Linked DNA regions of Cricetulus griseus. The protein of the gene in region 1 interacts with the protein of each later gene in a pairwise test. Links are inferred from orthologs where the notes say so. Each region holds a gene or a part of one and is shown in the gene's direction. Other genes may lie near its edges.

Region 1 (4,217 bases):
TGGACAAGATGCCCCAGCAGGTGAAGGCTCTTGCCACCAAGCCTGCAGACCTGAGTTTGAGTCCCAGGATTCACGGTGGAAGGAGAGAACTGATTTCCACAAATTGTCTTCTGAACTCCACATGCTCACACATAACACACACAATAAATGTTAAATAAGAAGGGAGGGAGTAATAAGAGGGAAATGGGCCAATATGTTCAAAATATAAAATGTATACATTATGAAACTGACAAAGGATAAATTAAAATTTTTTAAACTGCATCTTACTGGCTGACCTGGAACACACAGATCTGCCTGCCTCTGCTTCCAAGTGCTGGGATTGAAGGCACACACTACTATGCCTCACTAAAACTTAGTACTTTGTAAAAAGTCCATATTCAGGTGTGTGTGCATGAGTGCAGCTGTCCACAGAGGCATCAGATCACCTGGAACTGGAGTTATAGGCAGTTGTGAAGCATCATATGTGCCTGCTGGGAACAGAGAGAGGTCTCGGCCATTAGGAGTGAATACTTCTCCTGCCCAAAAAACTGAAAAAGGAATGGGGGGGGGGCTGCAAGTAAAGACGCCTGCTGCGGAAACTGATAACCTGATCTCTGGGACCCACATAGTGAAAAGGAGAAAACTGACCTCCCTGTGTGTACTGGAACACACACAAAGCAACTACAAGAAAGAAAGAAAAACAAAGGGGCGGGTGCTGAGGTGTTGGCTGGTCTCCCAGGACGGTTAAGAATGACAGAATTAGGGCTGGAGAGATGGCTCGGAGGTTCAGAGCAGTCCTGAGTTCAACCCCCAGCAACTACATGGTGGCTCACAACCATCTGTAATAAGATCTGGTACCCTCTTCTGGCCAGCAGGCAGAACACTGTATACATAATAAATTTTTAAAAATCTTAAAAAAGAATGACAGAATTAAAAGAAAATCAGCCACACTTTGCACTAGGCACGATGTCTAAATAACACACGTGCTAGTCTAGTCCCCTGGGTTCACTGGGCAAACTGGGGTGGGGCAGCCACTGATAAGTTGACAGAGGCGATTACTGATAAGTTTTGATTGCCATTCAGAGACTGACTTCCTTTAATCGCCACCTGACAGCGAATCACAGCTGGTGACGGGATATTGGTTTACTAGACTGCTGTCGAATGCAAGGCTGACCCAAATCGGTTCCGCTTTCAAACCCACAGCAGCGGGTTTGAAAGCGTTCACCCGGCTTCCACCTCCAGTCAGCCAGCCACAGCCCGATGGCCCCGCCCAGGCCCCTCAGGCCACGCCCACTAGGGAGGGTCCGCCCTCCGGGACTTACTTCCGGCCCTCTTCAGCAGTGGATGAAAAATACTGCCACAAAGTTCGTACTGCGCCTGCACCTATGTTGCTGCGCATGTGCGCACTCGCGGCTTGCCCCTCAGACCGGACATAACGGTCCGCGCGCTGCTCCATGGACCGGAAGTGGAAGGGAAGTGTCGCGGGGCGCGCCGGGCCTTGCTGAACGCCGGCAGTTCCTGCCGTTGCCGCCGCCCTCGGCTATTGCCGAGGCCTTCCAAAGACGCCATGTCCGCCAGCGCCGTCTACGTACTGGACCTGAAAGGCAAGGTATTGAAGGGCTCTCCACCCTCCGCGTTGCCAGGCAACAGCGGGGCCTCGCCCTGCCGGGACCCACCCTGTTGCTAGGTAACTGGCCGTCCAACCCTGCCAGGGCGTTGGGCAGGCGGGGCAGCCTCACTTGCGGACCCTGTCCTGTTGCTAGGAAACGGCCGGTGGTCTTTGAGAGTCCCGCCCCCTCCTTAGCTTACTGGGTGGGCTGTGGTTGCTAGGTGACCGTCGGCTTTGCCCCTCTCCCGCCGGGTCCGGAAGCTGAGGACCCGCGCCCCGGGATCGCGCGACCCTTGGCCGGAGGCGTGGCGGGGACTGTGTCCTCAGGTCGGCCCCTTGCTCCGCTTTCTCCCGAGAGCAGCTGCGCTTCCTGTGACATTGGGTTCAGAGAGGCGAGTGATAGGAATGCCGTCTTGCTGAGGGGAAACAGACTTGCTTGCCTAGAGTCACACTGATGACTGGGAAGTAGCCATCTGGAAGTCCCACCTCAAGCATCCTTGCTTTCAGCTTATGTTTTCAGAGAAGCCAGGCAGGGTGCTAAGCCCTGGGCCCCACGGGTGGGCAGAATCTGTCATGGCTCTCAGCACATGGAAAAGCACAGATACATGAATGACTGTTGGGACCGTGTGTTCATAACGGACTAGCAGCCCCAGCTGGGGGACAGAAAGCTTTCCTGACTGAGACATGAAGGCCCTGGAAGGAATCAGGGTCCAGGCATCTTCCCCAGGGGTGTCTGAGAAAGAAAACTTCATCTGTGTGTGTTTGTGTGGGTTTGCACATGTGTGTGGAGGAAGGAGACCCTGCTACCCTTACATGGGCTCTTGTTATCACACTCAGTCGCTGGACTGATTCAGCGAGGCTGCCTGGCCTTTAAACTACATGGATCTGCCTGTCTGTATTTCCCAGAAGCACCCCTTGGTTTTATAAGACAAGGTTTCTCTGTGTAGCTCAGGCGTCGCTGAGCACACTCTGTAGACCAGACTGGCCTTGACCTCAGATAGGCCTGCCTCTGCCTCAGGCGTGCTGGAATTAAAGGTGTACACCACCACCGTCTGGCATGTACATGGCTCTTTTACATGGTATCTGGATATGGCTAATTTGTGGTTTTGTGATGCAGAGGCAATAACCCCAAGTGTCTCAAGTCTGTTCAATGAGCGCTCTGCCAGGGAACCACAGTAAGCCCAATGCAAAAACCTCTTACTGGAATATATGATCAGCCTTCAGAAATGGGCTATCACTATCCCTCAATCCATCAAGGTAGAAGGCAGGTGGCCAGCCTTTTATATTTGGAAGCTACCAGAACAGGTCCAGCCACAGTAAACAAAGAACACTGGTGTCCAGCCCACATGGAAGAGCTAGAGGTGTCCAGAAGTGAAGAGGAGGTGTGCCCTAGCTCCAGCCTCTTCCTCAGTCCCTAGAATGTGTGCCTGCCTTGGATGCCACCCAAGGTCAACAGCTGGTGAGTCCCCAATCTGGGCTTCCTCCACAGCCTTCTGGGAACCTGAGTAGGCACAGTGTTCTCTAGGCCTTATGGCACATGCTCTGCCTTTTGCCCTGGCCTAGAGGTACATGGGCTGTCTGTCATGGCTTGCCTGTTCCTTTAGCAAACACCTCAGTGGTGCTTAGCAGGTGATCCATCCTGGACTCAAGCTGTAGAACTAGACTCACGTGTAGGTTCAGCCCATCTTTACAGCTGAGGTGTGTGGCCATAGATACCTCCCATGGCATCTCTGAGCTTTGCCTTCCCGGCTGGTCCAAAGAATCTTATCTGGGTTATTGTAGGTGTGATTCAGGCCTGGCCCTGCACAAGGCACAAAGAGCATGGAATTTAGGCTCCACAGGCCTAACAGTTAGGTTGCTTGCCTTCTCTTTGGCAGTCAGAGAAAATTACAAAAGACTTCCAGGCAGAGCTGGGCACCTGAGATGGTTCTGAGGAGGTGACAGGTATCCAAGTTGTCATGCGTGGTATAAGGCAGCCCACAGACTAGTGGTGGCACTTTAGGGCACCAATGGGAGGAGGCCCCAGGGCACTGCAGTTCCAGGAAGGAGGTCCCATGATGGTATGTAAGCAGACCTGCCTCTAGAAAGTTCCTCAGAGAGGCTGTAGAGCTCCCTGCCTCATTCCAAAATCAAGACAACCTTATGACACTGTGCCAGGCTGACTTGCTGGTTACTGTGGCCACCTTTGGCAAGCAGGAGGTCCTCCAAGAATGCTTGGCTGCTCTCTATTCTCCCACAGCTGCCCCTCAGCTTCCCTGCTTGGCAGTGTGGCCCTGGTGACCCTAGGTCTGGGGTGCTGGTTTCCCCTCCTTCTTCTTGATGCTGTCCTTCTGGGCACTGAAGGCAAAACCCCAGGCTGCCCCCTGTTACTCACAAGGACCTGTGTAGTCTAAGTCTGCCTCTCTGGGCACTGTAGTCTCTATCTGTAAAACAGGAATCAGAGCAGGCAAAGGGCAGTCCCTCGGCCCAACATCAGACTCAGAAGTTTACCCAGTGGGTGCTATGTCCCCTACAAGGCCTAAGCGCTTAGGAAAGAAAGGAACCACTTTTGCTACACTGTCCCAGCTGAAAGCAACAGAGACAGAATGTTTTCTGAAGTGACAGGTTCTGAGGCAGGTGGTACCCATGC
Region 2 (7,146 bases), on another chromosome or scaffold:
TCGGGACAACCGAACTACCAGGTCAGACCTCTCAGACCACAGTATGCACCTGCATTGCCTATGCCTTAAGTCCCCACAGCAACCTTTCATACCTGGACTACAAGTTCCAGCATGCACCGGTAGTCTGCTTCTCCCAGATGACACCTTTCATACCTGGACTACAAGTTCCAGCATGCACCGGTAGTCTGCTTCTCCCAGATGGCATGGTAATGGGACTGCAGAAGCCTCAGTCACATACCATTTTCCTTGGCCTTGTGCCATGACCTACAACACACAGCTCTGCCAGCTCTGCAAACAAAGGCAGTCACTATTCTTCCAAGAACAGAGTTCCAGTGTGTGGAGCTTCAGTGCTTGGCCTGAGGGTTTGCCAAGAAGGTGCATCCTGAGGGTCAAGGATCACAAGGCAGAATGTGTCATTGTTGGAGTGGGAAGCTATTGAGGGTGAGGGGGTCCCCCAAATCTGATAACTTTACTACATTCTCTCCCTAGTCTTCACATATTGTCCTTTGAGGACCTACTGTATGTATGAGAAGAAGCACTAACCACTAAGACTTGCTCCCTGATTGAAAGGATTGAGGTGACCCAGAGCTTGATAGCGGCTGCTAAGCTTAGAGAACAGAAGAGTGTCACTTATAAGGAACATGCATTGTGATAGGTGTGGGGGTGGGGTCGGGCGCTAGTTCCCGTGAGTGAGTGACAATCCAAGCGGGAGACCAGGGCTGGCAAGCTGGAAGGAGGCATCTCTTTCCTCTAGGAAAGCTTGTAGTAAGTAAGCCAAGCAGACAAGTCCTGGGAGTGGGCCCCCTGGGAGTCTCGGTTCTCTCTCTGCAGACGGTTCTATGACTCCGGAGCCATCATGCTGCGGGAGGAAGCCACTGTCCTCACAGGGATGCTGATCGGGCTCAGCGCCATTGACTTCAGGTGGGGTCTGCATGGTGGTGGTGAATGGGACTTTCTCCTCCACAACTGTCCAACGCCCCTCATGCCCTCCTCCCACCCCGTGACTCTTCTGCCTCAGCTTCTGTCTAAAGGGCGAAGTTCTGGACGGGAAGACGCCGGTGGTCATCGATTACACACCCTACCTAAAATTCACCCAGAGGTGAGCAGCCCGGTTATTGCGGTGGGTGAGGAGATGGGCACCGGGAGGGCACTGAGTGTCATCCTGGTGTCACTGCCCAAGGGTCGGAGTTGGGGTGCTAGTGGGGCGAGGCGGGGCGGAGCCGGCCCCACCCACTGCTCCCGCTCCTAAGCTACGACTACCTGACGGATGAGGAGGAGCGACACAGTGCGGAGAGCAGCACCAGCGAGGACAACTCGCCTGAGCACCCCTACCTGCCTCTCGTCACTGACGAGGACAGTTGGTACAGCAAGTGGCACAAGATGGAACAGAAGTTTCGCATTGTCTATGCGCAGAAGGTGAGCGAGGCGAGGCGAGGCGAGGCGCGGGGAGATGGGCGTGGCGTGGGCAGGGTCCAGGCTGGGACACCAGCTGGGACCCCTTTGGAAGCTCTAGCTGAGCTGGCGCTGCTTGGTAGGGTTACCTGGAGGAGCTGGTGCGTCTGCGCGAGTCGCAGCTGAAGGACCTGGAGGCGGAGAACCGGCGGCTGCAGCTGCAGCTGGAGGAGGCTGCAGCACAGAATCAGCGGGAGAAGCGAGAGCTGGAAGGCGTGATCCTGGAGCTTCAGGAGCAGCTGTGAGCACGCCTCCTGCCCTGACCCGACCCGACCCCTGGGAACCCCGAAATCACTCCATTGGATGGCATCACTTTCCTTACACCAGCATCCCATTTGCATCAGCCCACCCATATCCCACTCTCCCGAGGCCTGTGGTTGCCAACCACTACCCCCGACATTAACATCCTGGAGCCTCCGTCACCCATCAGCCAGGGACTCCAGTCACTGCTGAAGTACCACATTACTCACAGGACCTCAGCGGCTGAAGCTCTTTTGTTCAGGCCTCTGATCTGCATCACCCAGCGATCCCACAACCTGGAACATTTCTCCCCTAAACTTGTTCCAGCTAGTTAACTAGCTAGCACAATTCCCACCCACCCTCTCCACTTTCCTCTCTACATCACCCCAACTAAGTCTTAAGCACTCCAGCCCTCCAACTCCCAACATGAATGCACTAATCCTGGCTACCCCTCTGTCCCCAGGCTACCCCTACACTCCCTCCAGGATCTAACGCTGCCTCCCTGGCCCCTTTAGAAACATGGTGTCACTAATTAGCAGGCCTCAGACTTGTGCTCCTTCTGCCTCCAACCCTTGTGCTGCAAACTCCAGATCTGGGCCATCATCCCTGAGCAGTGTATATCCCAATTTTTACCACTCAGGCTTCCTTTCTAAGCCCTGGCCCCCACCTTTGCTGAGTCTTGCTTCCCTCTCCCAGCCAGGCCTGATCCCCCTCCCCCTCCCAGGACAGGTCTGATCCCCGGTGACCATGCCCCCCTGGCCCAGGGTTCCAAGGAGTTCACTACACCCCTGGTCAACCAATGGCCTTCCCTGAGCACACTCAATAGGCCTGAGGGTGCCAGCAACTCGAAGCTATATCGGAGGTAAGCCCCAACCCAATTGCTGCCCTCAAACTCCCTCCCAGGAAGCAAGGCCTGGAGCTATGTACCACGGCCTGCACGCATTTCTGTCCTGTCATAGACACAGCTTCATGAGCACCGAGCCGCTGTCTGCAGAAGCCAGCCTGAGCTCAGACTCCCAGCGTCTGGGAGAGGGCAAGCGGGATGAGGAACCCTGGGGCCCCATTGGTGAGCACACCCCCATACATATACCTTGGCATTTCATATACTTTAGAAAATTGCTGGGGGTCTATAGTGAGAGAATGGCTGAACTGAAGGGTCTCTTAGCCCTTCCTGTACTTACATTACAGCACCAATGAGGAGCTTGCTTTGGGGTTTCAGAGAACCAAGTGCAAATCTAGGCTGCACCCCCTCACCTGCAAGCTTGGTCAGTCTCTTCACCTTGCTGTAAAATAGGGACATTGGTGAAAAGAATCTCATGTCCATTTATGGAGAGGGCTCAGTGACCTTTTAGTATCATGTGATATCCTCACAGGGCTCATACTCCAGAGAGTCCTCAGCCTAGTTTGCTCTCACGGTATGCACTCTGTGAACTGCTCGGCTGACCAATGTTTCCCCCTTTTCTTTGGTGCCAGGAAGCTCAGAACCAAATTAGTGGCTCCCTCCGAGTGAATGCCCAGGACTTCCGCGCATGCGTTGTGTTACCTCACCCCTGGCTCCAACTTGGTTTCTCCCTTCCTAGTTTTCCCCATGCCTGGACTTTTTTTTTTTTTTTTTTAATAGATATATTAACTCCACTGTACCAGATAACTGGATTTTGAGACACTGCAGGCTTTGGACATGTAATCCACCACACTGTGTTTGTGACTGTGTGTGTCTCCCCAATCAGACTGTGAGCTCCAAGAGGGCAGGAATCATGTCTTGTCCATTCTCTGTATTCCCAATGTGAAACAGAGCAAATGCTTACTGTGTGCTTAATAAATGGACAAAGAGGCTGAACCTCAGGGGGAGACCAGAGACATGACCGGATGATTACAATACAGTGTCCCAAGCCCAAAGTAAGGCACACGCCATCAGGGTTTAATGGCAGATGCTTCAGAAGAGGCCAAGAGTCTCCTGGGAGTGACCTGAGAATTGTCCTTTTACTGCCCATCCCTGAAATCCTCTGCCCCACATCAGCCTGGTTGGCCCAGCCTCACCCGCCCTCTCTCCCCAGGGAAGGACCCCACGCCCTCCATGCTGGGCCTCTGCGGCTCCCTGGCTTCCATCCCCAGCTGCAAGTCCCTGGCCAGCTTCAAATCCAACGAATGCTTGGTGAGCGACAGCCCCGAGGGCAGCCCGGCACTTAGCCCCAGCTGAGGAGCAGCACGGGCAATGCCTGCCCCACCTGCCAGGGGCCACGGACAACGGTCACCTGAGTCCCCCAACCCAGGCAACCCTTCAAGGATGCTGACCATCTAGCCGAGGGTCTCTAGGGAAAGACAACCCAAGCCTCTTTCCTGCTTCAGCTTCCCACCAAGGAGGCAGGAGCTGCATTGGCAAGTGGTGGCACCAGGAGGAAGGGGCACCCAGGTCACAAGTAGCCAGTCCCCTGGGAAGGCTGCTCCATTCTGGTGGCCCTGAAGTCTGCCTGGTTCCTTTTGCTCATGTTCCACACCTGCCTCAGAAGCAGGTGGTCCAGCCCTGGCATTCCTGCTGCCCTGCCTCTGGTCTATCCCTGTGTACCCTCTGAAGTCATCCTTCCTTGGTACCTATGTGGGGAGATTAGGCAAATAAAAACCAGAGGACTGAGGTGGCTTCATCTGTTGGGGAGTGGGGTAGGGCTCCATAGCAGGCTCTCTAAATGAAGGTAATGGGGCAGGACTAGCATGTGTCCTATGGGAGCAAGTGGGCCATAATTCAGGGCAAGGGGGGAGGGGCTTCTTTCTGGCTCTGACCCCTCTAGTATTTTCTCAAGCACTAGCAGAGCCCTCTGACGGTGTGCCTTAGTGGGACATTTGCCTGCCATAGGCATATGCAACTCCATTGTGAATCAGAGCTGCAGTCCCATCCATTGTGCCAGAGCTGGCAAGCAGGGGATTCTGCTCCAGCAATACCACCTTGGCGTGCGCTTGCTCTCACGCCAACACAGTGGCCCAGCATGGAAGGACCTCTTCACCATCTTTCACCTTTGTCCTGTCTGACTGGGTACCACGTAACGTGGGAAACTTTTAAGACAGGGTATTTAGCTGGCCTGGGGCTCACTGTGCAGACCAGGCAGGCTTCAGACTCAGATCCACTTGCCATCCAATCTCTAGTGCTGGATTGAAGGTGTGTGCCACCATGCCAGGAGTGGCAGCCTTTTTTTTTTTGACAGAATCTTGTTATGCAGTCCTGGTTGACCTGGTGCTTGAGGCAATCCCTTTGCCTCAGCCTCCCAAGTGCTGGAATAACAAGTGTGGGTGACTGACTGGGGACCCCCAAATGCACACACATACCCCAAGACACCGCAGTCACAGCAGTGCACAGAAGGTCATCTTTAGACAGGGAAATAAACAGAGCTGCCTGGCCCGAGATCTTGATTCCTCGGGGCCAGGCTTCAACAAACATAAAGGGTTACAAAGAAAGGGGCAGCTGTCAGATTTGGTCTTGAACTTGGAGGTGGACGAGTGGTGACCGTGGTAGGGAGAACAGCAGGAATCAAAATGTGAGGGTAGCCTGGGTGACTGGGTTGGGGAGGAAGGCACTTGGCTCAGTCTCCTGTCCCCACCCGTTCAAGAGCTGGTTGCTCCTCGCCTTTCAGGAGCCCAGAGGCTGTTCCTGGTTGAGCCTCTGGAAGAAACTTTTGCCAAACTCGTAAGTGCTGATCATGATGGCACACGAGGGAGCAGCCTTGATGATTCTTGGGAGGAACCCTGTGGTGGGAGGACATACCTTGGTTAGAGGCTGGGTCCCTTCACAGATATAACATGGAAGTACACACACAGTACATGTGCACACAGACAGTTACCCACCAGCAAACAGTCCTCTGGTGCCCGATTCCGCCTTGATTCTCCGAAGCAGGAGCCAAGTGGAATCAATTCTTGGGGGCTTCACTACAGATTCAAGACCCAGTTCATTAGGACTCAGTTTGGGCCCCTGCCTGCCCCCCACCTTGACTAGCCCAGCTCACCTCTCACAGCCTCCAGTGCTCCCAGTGTGATCTGTCGCTGTGTCTTCACCACATCAAAGGGCAGAGTAAGGGTGGCAGCCACCTGGTGGGGTGGGGTGGGAAGAAGGCTCGGCTCCATTCCCAGGGCCCCTGTCCCAGCTCTCCCATAGCTCGTGGGAGGGACTAAAGCATCTCAAGGGTGGCTGAGGAAAGCAAGCAGGCTCCCTAGCAGGGACTGCTATATGTGAGGGCCTCCTCTGGTGGCCTCACCCCCAACCCAGTCAACTCACCATTCCTGAGATGCCACCAGCTACAAAGCTGACGCCCACAGATGTCTGGTCTTTTGGCCCATTCAGCCAGCTCTTCACCAGCTCATAGTTGAACCAGTACAGAGCTTGGGAAGTAGAGACATTCATTAAAGGTGGGAGCCAGGGAGTGGGCTCCAGACTTCTCATCTCCCACCCACAGCCAAACCACCCCAGGTGGTGCCTGCTTTGTACCTAGCCAAACCCCTCCCTGCCAAGTCCGTATCACAAATAAGGAACCCAAGGCTCAGAAGTGATGAGTTCATGGTCATTAGTAACAAAGGAGAGACTTGTGTGTAGAGACCCCTTCAACATTATCCAAAGCCTCTTTTACCCTATGCCCTGAACAAAAGTGCCTACCTGAGAAGGGCACATCTCGAAGGGCTGTGGGACCCCAGCCAAGCCACAGTGAGCGCCAGCCCCCCTGAGCCACCGCAGCTTGAACACAGGTAGCTAGCTGCCGGTATGACACGTGCTGAGCCTGTAGCTTGGTCCGCACAAGCTCCAAGGGGCTGATGACTGTCACAGTGCCCACTATGGTTGGTAAGATAGTAGAAGGTCAGGCCACGGATGCCATGCATCAAAACCCAGCTCTTGCCCCCGGGTCTGAGGGTTAGCATAATACCCCCACCCCCAGGCAGAGGCTGGCACTGGGACCCAGGAGGGACAAAGGGAGGTCAAGAGCCAGGGCTGTGCTCACTTCGGGCGAGGGCACCAGCCACCATGGGTGCGTAGAGGTCAGAGGTCAAGGATTGACCACACAGGAAAGCCTTGAGTTGGTCATAGGCAGTGAAGTAGATGGCAGTAGCTGGCACAGTCATCACCCTGGGCATACCAAGAGGCCAGAAAAGTCACCTAAGGACTCCCAGTTCTTTCAAGCACTCCCTCCCTCACCCTGCCAATAGGAGTCAATGGAGGGGGCAGGAGTACTCACAGGGTGGCTGGGAGGCCGCTCCACAGGGTCCTAGTGCCCTCATGCCTCACTATCTTCACAAAGGCATCCTGACGAAGCCAGCAAGAGCCCAGAGGAAAGATAGACATGAACAAGGTCTGTGATGGGCTGGCTCAGAGCTAGTTGGCCCTCAGGTCCTGATAAGAGCTAGCTAGCTAGCCCTCAGGTTTCCACACGCAGCTACCCAATTGGTTCTAGGTGGACTCCTATTCACCCTTTAAAACCTTAA
Region 3 (8,033 bases), on another chromosome or scaffold:
AAGACAGCTGCATCCCCAAGGTCCACCCCAGCATGGCTGACAGCTCCAAAGCTGGGAACCTGAAGCACACTGCAAAGCCTGCAGGCAGCTCAGCAGGTTGGAGAGTGTCCTTTCCAGGTGCCTTGGTTGGTCTAAACCTCTTCCAGGCAACTCAGGTGGCCCAGAGTCTTCCTTACAGCTGGGCTCTGCAGTCTCTAGCAGGAAGGGGCCTAGGGAATCTGCCCAGTTCCAGGGAGTTCTTGAAGGTGTTTCTTGCTGTTTGGCTCTTTGCTTAAAGAGCCCCTACAAGATGGAAAGTTTTGCTGAGCCTTGTTGGTGCATGCTTTTAATTCCAGCACTCTCAAGGCAGAGGCAGGCAGATCACTGTGAGTTCGAGGCCAGCCTGGTCTCCAGAGCGAGTGCCAGGATAGGCTCCAAAGCTACATAAAGAAACCCTGTCTCGAAAAACAAAACAAAACAAAAAAACAAAAAAAAGGAAAGTTTTCATCACAGGCTGTTACACAACAACCATCAGGTTTGACTCACTCTTTCTTCCTTTCTTCTCTTTCCTCTCTTCTCTCTCTCTCTCCTCTCTCTTTCTTTTTTGAGACAGGGTTTCTCTGTGTAGCCCTGGCTGTCCTGGAACTCTATGCTGGGCCAAGAGTTTGTTTTGTTTTGTGTTTGTTTTTTTCTAGACAGGGTTTCTTTGGAGTCTATCTTGGAGCTCACTCTGTAAACCAGACTGGTCTCAAACTCACAGAGATCCTCCTGCCTCTGCCTCCCGAGTGCTGGGATCAAAGGTGTGCACCACCACTGCCCGGCTGGGCCAAGAGTTTTTATTCACTATTGTATTTTAAGAGTCAGCAGCAAACACCTTGCTCATAGTATGTGCTGAATAAATTCCTGTGAAATTGGAAGGAGATGCTAGAGAGATGGCTCAGTGGAAAGATCACCGGAGGCTCTCTCACAGAGGACCTGGGTTTGAGTCCCAGAACTCACGTGGTGTCGCATAACCATCCTAACCCCAGTTCCAGAGGCCCGGTGCCCTCTGCTGGCTTCTACCACCAGCAGCAGGCACATAAACAGTAAGGGGCTCCTGTAAGTAATCCCTCACCCATATTCCTGTAAGTAACCTCAATATACACATACGGACAAAACATTCATTGAAGGGACCAGCTGCTCCTTTCAGCAGCCATGACAGTAACACATGCTTGCCAAGACCTTGTCCTAGTCACTAGAAGTCAGATGCCTGCCTCGTGGCAAGGAACCAATCAGAAGTTAGCTGATGGCGCTATGCTTTACGGCTCTGGGTGTGCTTTACGGACAAGTGCACGGCAATGGCGCACAAAGCATAGCAACCAGTTGACCAATAAACACAGGGCAAGCCCTCCAAGCCTGGAGGCACACCAATCCTGAGCCTGTGCATACCCCTAGACACTCCCCTTATGCTGCCCTATAAGATCTTTCGGGAGCCCCTAGGAGCCGTCTTTGCTAGCCATCTGCCATGGTGGGTGCTATCAAAGACCCGAGCTAACATGGGGTTAGCTCGTTAAACTACAATAAAGCCTCATGCAATTTGCATCGAGCTTTCGCCTCCATTCTGTGTTTGGGGTGGCCGAGGTCCTGGGCTAAGATTCTGGAAGCCTCAGCTTTCCTAGGGTCTAACAACTGAAGTCAGGAGGATGAAGATGAAAGGAAAACTCTTTCTCCTCGGAATACAGTGCATCAGCAAGCAACCTTATGTGGTCTGTCTAGAAGCATGCTTACAGACTTGTTCTATTTTATGTGCTCACTTGTTTTTGGAGAAAGGTCCAGGTGTATAGCCTAGGCTAGCTTGGAATGCCTGCCGGGCCCTCCAGTTTTACATCTGCCAGTCGCTGGCCTTACAGCACACCTGGCTATGTTGGCTGTTTGAATTCACTAACACTAAAAATAAAACCTTTGGCCAGACGCAGCGCAGCGGCACACACCTCGCTTCCCAGCTGCTTGGGTGGTTGAACAAGACAATGATGATAGAGCGAGCCCAGGAGTTCAGGGTGGCAATGGCATTTAGAGTGGAGGAAACACACCACACACACACACACACACACACACACACACACACACACACACCATTTTCCCCCTTCAAATTCACCTGCTTTCCATTTGGTGGGGCCCCTCTGCTCTGAGATGTGGTTTGGATTGACAGGATGACCTGGCCTAAATTAACCGTGGCCAGTGTGCCCTGGGGCTCCCCTACATACCTGTCTGGAGTGTAGACTAGGGCTAGCTTCCAGATCAGAGACATGAATAGCCGCTGGAGAATTGTTTCCAACTTCCTCTTGGACGCAGGAATGGACAAAAGGCTGCTATTTGCAAGCATTGCAAGCCAGGCCCCCTAGGGTGCAAAGGAACCTTCCTGGTTGGCTTAATTGGCAGCAGAATGTTTTTGTTTTGAGACAGGGTCTCCTTGTGGCTGCCCTGGAACTCTCTTTGTAAACCAGGATGGCCTTGAATACAGAGAGACCTGCTTGCCTCTGCCTTTCCAGTGCTGCAATAAGCTACTATAATGTCCAGCTCTTTCTGGGATAAATCTTCAATGGGAATGTTAGAACAGCTTGAGCATATTCAGCAATGCTGAACCATAACGGTTTTCTTTTTCAAGACAGGGTCTCACTATGCGGCTCTGGCTGTCCTGGGAGGGCTTCTAACTCAGAGATCTGCCTGCCTCTGCCTCCTGGAGTGCTTTGATTAAAGGTGTGGTAAGGATTTTCAAACTAGCTTCTGGCTACTTTTCCTTCCATTACCTCAAAAGGTAAAGAAACACATCTAAATCACAAAGCAACTCTGGAGTAAACAGGTATAATATTCAGGAAAGACCAAATGTTTTGTTCTAGCTAATCGGTGAGGAAACCGAAGAAACAAGACCCTAATAGGCCCAACTAAGACTTGGGAGAGGAACCCCTCAAAAAAACATTAAATGTATGCTTTGAAGATTTGAGTCTCCCCCCATTTCATCATAATACACTATTTCACAGCAATTAACAACTAATATGAGGAAATATAAAATTAATTTAGTTTAGCTTGGCGGTGGTGGCACAAGCCTTTAATCCCAGCACTCGGGAGGCAGAGGCAGGCAGATCTCTGTGAGTTCGAGACCAGCCTGGTCTACAAGAGCTAGTTCCACGACAGCCCCCAAAGCCACAGAGAAACCCTGTCTTGAAAAACAAAAACACAAAATAAAATCATGTTCTCAATATCTCAGCCTCTCTGGGCTTGCCTTTTCAAATGGTCTGAAGGGGACCTACAAAGGTTTCTAAAGGGTTATCCCTGACTAGAATAAGTGCTTCGATAAAGAGAGGAAATTTGTGGAAATCTCTTCCATTTGACGTTGCTAAACTTAAGAACAATAATGTCATATGTACTTATACAGTAATTGTGGGCACGCCTAAGTCCCTCCCTCTGTCCTTAAACCAATATCCCCACATCTTAGAAATCCTAGCCCTTTTTCTGCCCTCCGGAGGCGCCTTTCCCAACGTAAAGTACAATTTTAAAATTTAAGCTCGCGACTAAAAGAATGATCCGCAGTCAACTGCTGGGGAATCTGGGCGCCCCAGCGCCTGCGGAGGGTGCAGCCGGGTGTGGGCACGGACAGGGGGAGTGGGCGAAGCTGCTGGTTGGTGCCTGAAATCTGTGCGTTGCCCCTTTAATTGTGTCCTCAGCCCTCGGGCGTTTCTGTCCAACGCCCACGTCAGCAAATACCTTTTGTTTCTCCCACGTTGGGGCTACTTGTTTTAGGGCGCACAGCCTCGGCTTCGGAAGGGGGTGCTTCCCCCACCGGGAACCGGGAATTACTCCGCAGCGAGCACGAGCGGCCAGAGCCCCGCGGTAAGTGGCTGCGAGGGCGCGGGCGGGCAGAGGGCGGCCGGGGCGTCGGGGCTGCGGGCCCGGCCGAGAGCCTGGCGGAGGGCGGCGAGGCCGCCGGGTGCGCCCCGGTGTGTAGGCGTTTTCGGGGAGAGCTCCGGGGCCGGCGACGGCCACAAAGGAGGCACGGGCGGCGGCGCGGCGGCCCGGGCGCGGCTGCGGGACAATGGCTGCGTCGTCGCCGCTCGCGCCCGCGCCCCGCCCGCGGCCGGCCCCGGAAAGGCGGGAAGGCGCCGGAGCCTCCTGGCGGCGGCGGTAGGGAGGCGGCGCCACGGAGTCGGGGCGTGTCTGCAGCCGTCGGGCGCCGTGGCGGGGGAAGGGCGCGGGGCGCGGGCGCGCGGGGCGCGGGGCGCGGGGCGCTGCCGCCCGGCGTTCTCACTCCACCCACCGCCCTCTCGCTTTCGATCACGACACGACACGACACGACGGTTCCGAGCTTAGAACCGAGGACAGGAATATGGAGCCCCAGCTGGCTCCCGGGAGAATGTCCCTGGCATCTCCCACCTGGCGACACTATCTGGTTTGGTCCCTTCGCGCTCTGGCGCGCTTAGTCGCCCTTGACCGTGCGGTTAGCAGTATTCCACGTCTTTCCGAGACGTGTTTGGAATGGGATTCACACCTAGCGGGCACCCAACCGCACACACCGCTAACACCTTAGAAGTCTTTATGTTTGCAGGACTTTAGTAAATGGAGTGGTTTCGCTTTCATGAAATAGTTCACTTGATTTCTTATAAGACAACTACCTGTTCAGGCCGTTTATTCTCCCTTGCAAAGGAAAGACTCTAACCACGGAATCTCACCCCTAGACAGGGAGTGTTGACAACTTCTCCAGCCCTCCTATTCCAGCAGCCTCCTGGAGCAGTCAGTCTCCAAGAACCAAAAACCTTCACTGATCTTTATCACTTAAGGCTTACTTCCATTTACCTATTTAATTTTGTTTTAAGCTGGACTCAGGCTAGCTTGAAATTTTGATTCTATCTCTACCTCGGGAGGGTTGGGATGAACTAGTCGAATTTCAGTCTGTCTTAAATCTTTTAATGGCATAATTATATTCTTTAATATCAAAGGGGTTGATATAAGGTTGTTGTTGTTTTTTTTAAATTTTCCCTGATTTTTAAAAAGTATCTTCTTTTGAAGACAAGGTCCTATGTAGCCTAGGCTGGCCCCAAATCTATATAGTTTGTGATGACCTTGGACTCCTGTTTCTCCTACAGCCACCTGTCAAGTGCTGGGGTTGCAGGCATGAATCTGTGCTGGAATTGAACCCAAGACTTCATACATGTTTACATAGGCACTCGACTAATGAACCATATGCCCAACCCTCCCCAAGCCTTAAATGGCAACCACCCCCACATCTTACCAAAAAAACCCAAAGGCTCAGAAGACCTATAGTCTTCAAGGCCTTATAGGAACTGGGCTCACTGTGTTTGTGTGTGTGTGTTTCGGGATTGAACCCAGGGACTTGCACACGCTAGACAAATATTTTACTGTTGGGATACATTCCCAGACCCCTTCCTTATTTATTTATTTATTTATTTATTTATTTATTTATTTATTTATTTCTCAAACAGAGTTTCTCTGTGTAGCCCCGGCTGCCCTGGAACTCCTGACTCTGTAGACCAGGCTGGCCTCGAACTCATAGATCCACCTGCCTCTGCCTCTGGAGTGCTGGAATTAAAGGGGTGCGCCACCACCATCCAGCCACATTTTTTTTTTTTTGGTTTTTTTGTTTGTTTTTGTTTTGTGAGATAGGGTTTCTCTGTAGCTTTGGAGCCTCTTCTGGCACTTGCTCTATAGATCAGACTGGCTTCCTGAAAGACCTCAGAAGAGGTACTTTCGTAGAAGGAGACCCGCACCCAGGAATCAGCGAAACCACGAACTCTGGATGTAAGAGCAAGAGGCTTTATTAGTAGCGCTGGTACCCCGGGGCTTAGCTTTTGGGTAGGCTAAGCCCCGAGCCAAGGGAGAGGGGTCCTTATATAGCTAAAAAGCACAGTGCAGAAGCGAAAAGCATAGTTACAGGGATTCTATTGGACAATTTAATGAGGTACAGAGTTATCAGTATATTCTCAAGGTCTGCACCTGGTACAACAGACCCAATTCCCCCCTCCGCGTCCAGATGGCTGACCTTGGGACGGAGGTTCCCCATGGGGGGGGCGTCCTCTCCCCGCTCGGCCCCAGCCCCGGGGCGCGGCGCCAGGCGGGCGGGCCTGGGTCGAGGGCCCCCCGCCTGGGTGAACCGGCTTGGGAGGGAGCCAGCCGCCAGGCGTGTGGGAGTGTGCGCGCGTACGGGAGTGTCACCGAGAGAGAACCAGCCAGGGGGCGGGGTCTTTCACTCCAACTCACAGAGATCCACCTGCCTCTGCCTCCCGAGTGCCAGCCACATTTTTTTTTTGGTTTTTTTTTTTGTCTCTTGGCTTTGGAGGCTGTCCTGGAACTAGCTCTTGTAGACCAGGTTGGTCTCAAACTCACAGAGATCGGCCTGCCTCTGCCTCCTGAGTGCTGGGATTAAAGGCATGCGCCACCACTGCCCAGCCACATTTTTTTTTAAAGTAAATTTATTTTGAGATGAGGGTTTTCTGAGTGGCCTAGGGCTGCCTTGGACTTGCTCCTCCCTGCCTCAGCCACCCAGCTCAGCTGGCATTATAGACATAGCTCTCCCCACGCCTTCTCCATGCTTGTTCCACTCAGGGCCTTTGCATCCTGCTGTTCCCTTTGTCTGGAGTACTCTTGTTTCAGATACAAATAAATGACTCTTTCCTACTTTGGACATTACTCAAATGAAATGTCATCTTCTAACTGAGGCTTTCAGCTATAGTTTGTCTCTTTTTTTTCTTAAGTTTTAAATGGTGTTTTGCCTGTAAGTGTGTCTGTATACCAAGTGCATATGATAGTGTTGGATCCCCTTGGATGGTTATAAGCCTCCTTGTTGGTGCTGGGGAGCAAACCAGGTCCTTAGCCAGTGCTCTTAACCATCTCCAGCCCCTCTTAAATGTGTTTTTGTCTTTTGGGTTTGTTTTTTTTCAAAGCAGGATTTCTCTGTGTAGCCCTGGCTGCCCTGGAACTCAATTTGTAGACCAGGCTGATTGTGAACTCACAGAGATCTGCCTGTCTCTGCCTCCCCAGTGCGGGGATCAAAGGTGTGCACCCCCATGTCCAGCAAATATTCTTGTATTTAGTTCTAAAGATCTCCTGTCTTAGGTCCTGTAGCCCATATGTGCTACTGAAACCAATTATCTGAGATTAGATAACACAAAAAGAAGAAATATTGCTGGGTGGTGGTCTTACACTTCTTTAATCTGAGCAGAGGCAGGTGGATCTCTGAATTTGAGGTCAGCCTGGTCTACAGAGTGAGTTCCAGGACAGTTGAACGAACAAAACAAACAAAATAAGAACAGATATTTATTTTTCACAGTTGTAGATGCTAGAAGTCCAAGATTAGGGTGTTGGCGGTACCCTGACAGGTGAAGGCTTCTTTCTGCTCCAGTATGGTACCTTGTTGCTACATTCACCAAGGGGAAAACTGTGACCTCATTAGTAAAATGGATAGGAAGGCTGAAGAGGGGTCAGACCCATTTCTCCAAATCCCTTTATTAGGATGCTAATCCCATCCATGAGGGCACCCTCCCTGGCCTGATAACCACGTAAAAGCTCCTCTAAATACTCTTCCCCTGAGAATTAACTTTCAGTTTGAATTTCGGAGGAGACACGGCCTTTTACAGCACAGCTCTTAAGATGGACTTAATTCTAAATCTTCCCAGAATTACAAGACCTTCATTTTCTGAAGAATATAACCACTGTTCAACGAACACAATTACCCTTCCAGTTAACTCAAATTTAGGAGCTAGGGGTTTTTGCTAAGACCAACACACTTAGGTCTAGATAAGTGGTTCTCAACCTGGGGTCGAGACCTTCACAGGAGTCGAATATTAAAACATCCTGCATCTCAGATATTTAATTATAACTCATAACAGCAGCAAAATTACAGTTATGAACTAGCATCGAAAATAATTTTATGGTTGGGATCACCACTACAGAAGAAACTGTATTAAAGGATGGCAGCAGGAAGGTTGAGACTCACTGCCCTGGGTCAATGCTGTGAATAGTATCAGGCTTTACTTGTTATCCAAATCTACATGACTTTCTATTCT
Region 4 (7,348 bases), on another chromosome or scaffold:
TGTGTCCCGTGGTACCATTTGAGGGCAGCAGGCAGCAAGGGAGGAGCAGTAGATACACTTAGATAGCTCAGCAGGTGACAGTTCCTATTGGCAAGTGCCTTCATATAGCAGGCATTGATCATGCTAGATGCTTCCATCTCCCACAGTTGACCTATTGTGCAGGAGTCTGTTTGTGTTCAGAGATTGGCTAGCATTTCCCAGTAGTCATTTGTGTTCCTTATCTGAGATTTAGTAGAGTGACCTACATAAGGGAGAGTATAGAAGAATCCATGAAAGGCTTTCTCTTGAGCTTTCCTCTATTGGAAGGTCAGCAGAGAACAGCAACAAGTGTGGAATGTTTCCTCCCAAGGAGCCAAATTGAGACAGGGCACCTAGGGGCAATAGGGCAATAGGGGCACACTATTTCAGGACTGCAGAAGGAAAGCAGGGTTTAAGCATAAACTGTATTGTTTATAAATGGTCTAGGCATAGCCAGCCGTCTTTATCTTTGAATGAACAGGATGAATGTTCCGAGAGTTTGAGTTCATACACACCAGATTCAGGCCTGGGTTAGTAATTATTCCTGCGCAATTCATTCTCATTTCATGAGTAAGGAAACAAGGGTTGAGGTCACACATTGGGATTAGAACCCTGGCCTGCTGCCTACTATCCATGTAAATTACTTTTCCTTCCTGAGATGTGACCCAGCAAGCTGTAGCCAGGAAGAACCACTACCTATGGCCACACAGTCATGATTATTGTTCTGCCTCCCTGGACATCAAGCTTCACCTATAGCCCAGGAATTCCCCAGCAGATGTGGAATGACGACTCATGGGTCTTATGGCTTCTTTTTTATTCTCTGGGCATCTTGCCCCACCACCAGGCCAGAAATCTTGAAGCATGAAATGAAAGTTTTCTTTGTGAAGTACAATGACCCCATCTACGTGAAGCTGGAGAAACTGGACATTATGATCCGCCTGGCCTCCCAGGCCAACATCGCCCAGGCAAGCAGAGTATGGTGGTGTGGGGCACAAGCTTTGGTGTCAGACAACTTCCTAGGTGTGTCTAGGTCAGCATGCTCACTGTGACATTCTATCTCATGGAGAGTTGTGGATGATAGAGCTCTGTAAGCAAGCAAAAACAACTAATGTCTGTATTAATAAAGAATATTCTCAAGCTGTCCACAAAGGTACACTCCTGAAGTCCCAGATACTTGGGTGGCTGAAGCAGGAGAATCACTTGTCATAAGATCAAAACTACCTTGGACAACATAAATAGACTCCCTATACATACTCAAAAAATTCTCCTTATTCTCTCTATTATTATCTATCATTTATTCACTAAAAAATGGTAGTTGGTCACCTAGGGATATGGTACAATTGGTAAAGCACTTACTAGGGGCAGTCATGAAGACCTGAAATTAATATCCAGAACCTATGTTTAAAAATCTGTGTGTGGGAACTGAAGAGATGGCTGGCTCCATAGTTAAGAGCACTTACTACTTTTTCAAAAGACATGGGTTTAGTTCTCAGCACCCACAGAGGGTCTCACAACCACCTGTAACACCAGTTTCAAGGTATCTGATACCTTCTTCTATCCTCTGTGGCACCTACCCCCTCCCTACACACATACCCCACCCCCCATATCACTGGTTCTCTCTCTCTGTCTCTGTCTCTGTCTCTGTCTCTCTCTCTCTCTCTCTCTCTCTCTCTCTCTCTCTCTGTGTGTGTGTGTGTGTGTGTGTGTGTGTGTGTGTGTGTGTGTGTCTGCCCCCCCCTCTCTGCCTCGGTCTCTCTCCCCATCCCCTACACACACAGTCTGGTGTAGTGCACTGGAGAAGTGGAGACAAGCAGATCCCTGGGGCTGACTAGCCAGCCAGCCAGCCTAGCCTCACTGGCAAACCCCAGGCCAGTTAGAGACCCTATCTCAAAACAAAAATAACAACAAAAGTAGATTGATCCTGGGAAATGACACCCAAGGATGTCCTGGCTTCCACATGTGGAGACATGTGTATAAGCGTACCTCCTTATGTCTGCCTCCCCACCGCCTCCGCCCCCCACAAAAAAAGCAGTAGCTGAGGCTGAAAAATGTAGTTTGGGGGTAGAATATCTACTTAGCATCCCCAACACCACACACACAAAATGAGGTTCTTGGATATAGTAGCTGTCAGTGTAAAGCAAGGTTTGTTGAACCTTGCTACATAGTCATCCTCTACCTTCCTTTTGAATTCTCTTCCTTTTGAGGAGCCTGATGACACGCTCCCCTGAGCCGTCCATTGTGAGCAGACAACAGAGTCCCGTCCCTTTGGGAGTTCATGCATTTCTGTTACCCAAGTATTCTAACAGATTGTTCCATCGGATATCTCCAATCCATTTTCTGTTTGGATCACAGGTATTGGCGGAACTCAAAGAGTATGCTACAGAAGTAGATGTGGATTTTGTACGGAAGGCAGTGCGTGCCATCGGTCGCTGTGCCATCAAGGTGGAGGTGAATAGGTTCTGGGATTCCATTCCTAGCCAGGGAGGGAGAAGGTTGTTGAAAACAGAAAGCCAGTCTGATCCTAGAAGCTGTTTATGGTTCAGGAAGTCCAAGGGTCACCAACAGGGCCTCCAAGGTACCCACTACACAGAATTACATTGGCTCTTTTTCACTTCAGGCTCTTGAGTTGTAACAGGTGAAATGATGCCCCTGTAATGATGGTTCTTAATGATGGTTCTCCTACAGCATTATCTAAGGCCACAGGACAGCCACCAGCTCATGGAGTTCCTGTTAGACTTACCACAGAGATCTGCGGCAGGACCTCTGCCTGATAGATACTTCAGAAGATACCTTGATTGAGCTACTGGGCTGCTTCTTCTGACCTACTAAATCACTCTAAACCCAGTGCCCTGACATTTCATTCTCTCCACTCTGCCTGGGGAGCTATTCCTTGACATTGACCTGTACACAGTGGGTCTGCTGGTGGCTTAAGGACCCTGGGATAGCTGGTCATACCCACTCAGGACCCTGAAAACAGCATCTTAAGCTGTTTTCCCCTTGATTTTTATTATTGCTCTCCTGAGACATCTGCCCCTTCGGGCTATTATATAGTATGTAGAAATAAAAGCAAAAGACTAGGTACAGAAACTTTGTAGGTCTAGCCATTGCAGCCAATTTTATGAAACAAGCCAGAGAGATGGGGCCAAATAGGGTCACTCAGCCCTTTGCCTGGAGGAACTCCCAATGACCTCACACTTTCAAGAGCTACACCTCTGGCTGTCTTGTGTTCTCATTCTATCTGTGTGTCCTTTTCATCCAGGGCCCTCATTTGGCCCTTGTCCTCTGCCTCCCCATTGTCAAGGGAAAGAGATCTGTTTTCATGCTATAATAAAGAAGGTGGGCAATGGGTCTGAAGCTGCTTGACTGCAGCAGGATCATTAGCCCAATTGGAAACTGTGTGCAGAGACCTTGCCTACACTGCCTCTTCTTCCCACACAGCAATCTGCAGAGCGCTGTGTGAGCACATTGCTTGATCTCATCCAGACCAAGGTCAACTATGTAGTCCAGGAAGCCATTGTGGTCATTAAGGACATCTTCCGCAAGTACCCCAACAAGTAGGTGCCCACCCCGCATGGGAAGAGAGCAGCTCGGCTTCCTCTTCCTCCTTTCCCTTTCTTCCCATTTCATAGCTTTCTCAGAAGAAACTTTTTGTCTTTTTTGTTCTTTTACCCAAGCTGGCCCTCCAGGCCAAAATAAGATCAGCTAAACTCCAGCTAAACACCCCCTGTCTTCACCATCTCTCCGGGTCTGGGCAGCTGCCTATCTGACTTGGCCCTTAACCCTCCACCACACACATTGGCCAAAATTCCTTGGTGCTTACCTGCTGGCTCAATCCTGCTTTCCTAGGTATGAGAGCGTGATAGCCACACTGTGTGAGAACCTAGACTCCCTGGATGAGCCTGAGGCCCGGGCTGCTATGATCTGGATAGTGGGCGAGTATGCTGAGCGGATTGACAATGCAGATGAGCTGCTGGAGAGCTTCCTTGAAGGTTTTCATGATGAGAGCACCCAGGTGAGCCTTCATGTGAGCACACCCATCACTGATTGCCTAGCCCAATTCTGGCCTGTTCCACCCCTATATCCTTCCTTCCTCCCTCCGATTGCATTGCCACTGTGTATAGACATTAATTGACAGGCTCTGTGTGGCCCCTTTTTCTCCCCCACAGCAGTGCCTCAGAAGACATAGGACAGTCTGTGGTGTGTGTGGAAGTTGGTCAGAAGTTTCTGGCTTTGTTTTGATTTCATATTTATCTTTTGGTAGTACATTGACATGGTTCCAAATAGAAATACTCCTGGGACTATATAATGAAAATTCTTCCTCTAACTGCTTTCAAAGTGGCCATAGTTCTCCCAGTTACTAGCATACTTAAGTTTCTTGGTCATTAGAGATTATAGGAATGGTCCACTAGATGTTCATGCAGACATTTGAGCCAGTTCTATTGTTCTTGGCATTTGTGTTTTATAACCACCACATTTCCTGAATAAGTACTGAGCTAGCACTTCCAGGAGAGGGGAAAAGTTAGATCTATGACATCTAGACACATTTTTATCAGTTGGTCAACATGTAACCTTTACCGTTGATTCATTAGCATTGAACTCAGTGGCCAACAACACTGACTTATGCCTGACTGATTTATCTAGCATGTATATTTCTCCACAGAGAACATTTCTAGAGCCTTCTAGACAAGCACTATAACACTATACTTGGGAGCCATTTTAAATGAGAAGAAGGATACATTTTTTACAGAATGAGAGCTGAAATGAAGGGTAGAATCAGCCTTGCCTTGTCCCAGCCTCAGCTTGGAAGTATTCATCAGCTGATTTAGGTTTCCATTGCTCAGCCTTTATCTACAGATGACCACTTAAGCCCTGTGAATATTGATTTTCAGGGGCAACAAGTGGCAGATTTACAAACATGGAAGCAGGGTGTGACGGTGTACACATGTAATCCCAGCATTTGTGAGGCAATTTTATCGGGTGTTGGTGGTCATCCTTGGCTATATAAAGACTTTGAATCCAGCCTGGGCTACATGAGACCTTGTCAATAAAAACAAGGCTGGTGAAATGGCTCAATGGGTAAAGGCACCTGCCACCAAGCCTAACAGCTTGAGTTCAGTCATAGGAACCATCTGGTCGTAGGAGAGAACCAACTCCTGCAAGTTGTCCTCTATCTTCCACCATGTCTCAATGGCATACATACCTCGCACACACATGAATAAATAGTAAACAGTTGTAATAAAAATACGCCAAGTGTTTAAAAAGCATGGTATTACAAATGAAGAGAAGTGGTGTGTGTCTGTGTCTGTGTCTGTTTCCTTCTCACTTAAATGCTATAGTAGTCCACTATGCAACTTCAGATTGCTTAGAACCTTGCCTTCTCCCCTTAGGGTAATTCTGAAGGCATGTCTTTGTTAATGTATGCTTTATTATTTAAGTCCATTGGACGTTTGTGTGTCTAGTCTGTTCTTGTGAGCGGGCTGCTGTGGCTAGGTGACATGGCGTAGAATTGTGAATATTTCAGGGAGGAAGCCTTACGCAGATAGCTTGGAAAGAAGGGATTGTGCCCTTGAAATCTGGGTAACTCTTGCCTGATTTCATTTGGTAGAATGGTTGTCTTTATTTGACCTCCCATCTCAGATGGTACTGTCCTGCCTCTTGTACTTGATTTGAACAGCTCAGAAGGTAATGGGTATAGTTTTGTCTGCATCTCTTTATTGTTGTTCCTTTTGCTGTGAATTAGGAAATGTCTTCTGCCCAGTGCCAGCAGTGTAACCTAGTGAGTCCAAACATGGGCCATGGAATCATAAACCCCAGAGCCCATACCTCTCATCTGCCTCACCCTTGCTTAATAATTTTATGCTCATCGTTAACATATTTCTAGTCCATAGTAAGTACTCATCAGTGATAGTATTGACCTGGGTCAGAATTAGATTTAAAAGTGAAGTGGCCCAGGAAAAAGCAGGGCCTGCTAGTTCCCGTAGCTGACACTTCTAAACAGCACACTCCCTCCCCATACTCTTGCCTTGGAGTGTTAGGGCTATCTCTGCCACCCTAAGTGGCTTCTGCCTTGGTCACATTCCCATGAGCAGGAACTACAATTAGGCAACAGTTTAGACTCTGTCCTTATAGTTTAACTACTACCATGGACAAAGAGAACTTCTACCTCAGCAGTTCAACAAAAGTCCCAAGATCTGTGTTTTGTGGAGCCATTTACCAAGACTCATGGGCCTGGTGTTCATCCTAGCCTGTATGGGTCGAAAGAGACAAAATGGCAGTTCCCTGAAGGAAAGCCAGCAGAGTGGGTGCTAAGTGAACAAGAACACCAGATGTCCATAGCAGAGTCCTAGCATTGATTCTCATTACCGCTTGCCCTCCCACTGCCACCCGCCTGCACTGCCCACTCCCTCCATGTAGCTTCACTTTTAACATCAGCCGCTCATCTGTGGCTCCCCAGAAGCCAAGCCTTGCCTGTACTGTGTCTGCTTCTATGGAGGATTGCCTGGGCAGGGGGGTAAGTTGCCAGATATTTGGGTTAAGTCTTGTAGCCTCTTCAGCCACAGAAATAAACCTGCTAAAGAGCCAGGGACTAGAGAAGTCAGAAGGAAAAGCTGAGTCAGGAATCTATAGGGAAGAAAACAGCCCTGAAGATCTGAACTCAGGTTTCCTGTGTTCCTTAAATTTACCAAGTCGTCAAAAGGGGATGGTGGTGCACAGCTTCACAAGGATTATTTACATTGTTGTCTGCTTGACTCTTGCAGTTAACCATATGAGTTATACCCATTTTACAAATGAGGAAACTAACTCAGGTCAGGTAACTTTAATGACTGTTGGTAAATGATAGAGTCAGAGTTCAGATGAGGTGTGATCTTACTCTAGCTCCAAATCAAGTGCTGTAGGTTTGCAAAGCTCTTAAGACACCAACTCCCACCTGAAGTGGGTCATGCCTTTTTCTTTTTCTTTTTTTTCTTCCTCCTCCTCCTCCTCCTTCTCTCTCTCTCTCTCTCTCTCTCTCTCTCTCTCCTCTCTCTCTCTGTGTGTGTGTGTGTGTGTGTGTGTGTGTGTAAACCGATAAATCTTCCCACCAGCCGCCCAAGTTCCGCTCACCGTGTTAGGGCCCCAAGTAACACACAGAGACTTATATTAGGTACAGTGCTGCTGGCCAATGACTAAGATTTTTTATTTGCCAGCTCTGTCTTAAGTATCACCCATAACTGTTAATCTATATATTTTATAAACTTATCTTATTGAGGATGCCGGCAGAATGTGTCCTGTCTTCCTGGCGGTCACATGGTGACGCCGCTTTCCTACATTTCCCAGAATCCTCCTTCTC

Evidence for each region.
Region 2: the proteins of Ap1m1 (region 1) and Rundc3a interact in binary tests that used the Homo sapiens proteins (3 or more experiments, as listed by UniProt). The two-hybrid records come from large-scale screens. The link is inferred for Cricetulus griseus from reciprocal best matches to the Homo sapiens genes AP1M1 and RUNDC3A.
Region 3: the proteins of Ap1m1 (region 1) and Zbtb8a interact in binary tests that used the Homo sapiens proteins (3 or more experiments, as listed by UniProt). The two-hybrid records come from large-scale screens. The link is inferred for Cricetulus griseus from reciprocal best matches to the Homo sapiens genes AP1M1 and ZBTB8A.
Region 4: the proteins of Ap1m1 (region 1) and Ap1b1 interact in a two-hybrid assay, tested with the Homo sapiens proteins (2 studies listed by BioGRID, with this or other methods). The link is inferred for Cricetulus griseus from reciprocal best matches to the Homo sapiens genes AP1M1 and AP1B1.

Annotation. Positions count from the first base shown.
Region 1 is NW_023276806.1:246,994,342-246,998,558, forward strand, and holds the start of Ap1m1 (AP-1 complex subunit mu-1), read left to right. Parts: upstream 1-1,417; 5' UTR 1,418-1,546; coding exon 1,547-1,588; intron 1,589-4,217. UniProt on the Homo sapiens protein: Subunit of clathrin-associated adaptor protein complex 1 that plays a role in protein sorting in the trans-Golgi network (TGN) and endosomes.
Region 2 is NC_048600.1:115,696,765-115,703,910, reverse strand, and holds the end of Rundc3a (RUN domain-containing protein 3A), read left to right. Parts: coding exon 1-21; intron 22-831; coding exon 832-921; intron 922-1,018; coding exon 1,019-1,099; intron 1,100-1,250; coding exon 1,251-1,416; intron 1,417-1,535; coding exon 1,536-1,693; intron 1,694-2,416; coding exon 2,417-2,554; intron 2,555-2,651; coding exon 2,652-2,758; intron 2,759-3,746; coding exon 3,747-3,889; 3' UTR 3,890-4,321; downstream 4,322-7,146. Other genes in the region: Slc25a39 (solute carrier family 25 member 39), read right to left, coding at 5,309-5,424, 5,524-5,604, 5,682-5,763, 5,951-6,054, 6,326-6,499, 6,666-6,790, 6,900-6,967. UniProt on the Homo sapiens protein: May act as an effector of RAP2A in neuronal cells.
Region 3 is NC_048595.1:23,660,938-23,668,970, forward strand, and holds the start of Zbtb8a (zinc finger and BTB domain-containing protein 8A), read left to right. Parts: upstream 1-3,473; 5' UTR 3,474-3,846; exon of another isoform or gene 3,847-3,935; intron 3,936-8,033. UniProt on the Homo sapiens protein: May be involved in transcriptional regulation.
Region 4 is NW_023276807.1:99,872,815-99,880,162, reverse strand, and holds part of Ap1b1 (AP-1 complex subunit beta-1), read left to right. Parts: intron 1-862; coding exon 863-983; intron 984-2,370; coding exon 2,371-2,466; intron 2,467-3,456; coding exon 3,457-3,572; intron 3,573-3,864; coding exon 3,865-4,030; intron 4,031-7,348. UniProt on the Homo sapiens protein: Subunit of clathrin-associated adaptor protein complex 1 that plays a role in protein sorting in the late-Golgi/trans-Golgi network (TGN) and/or endosomes.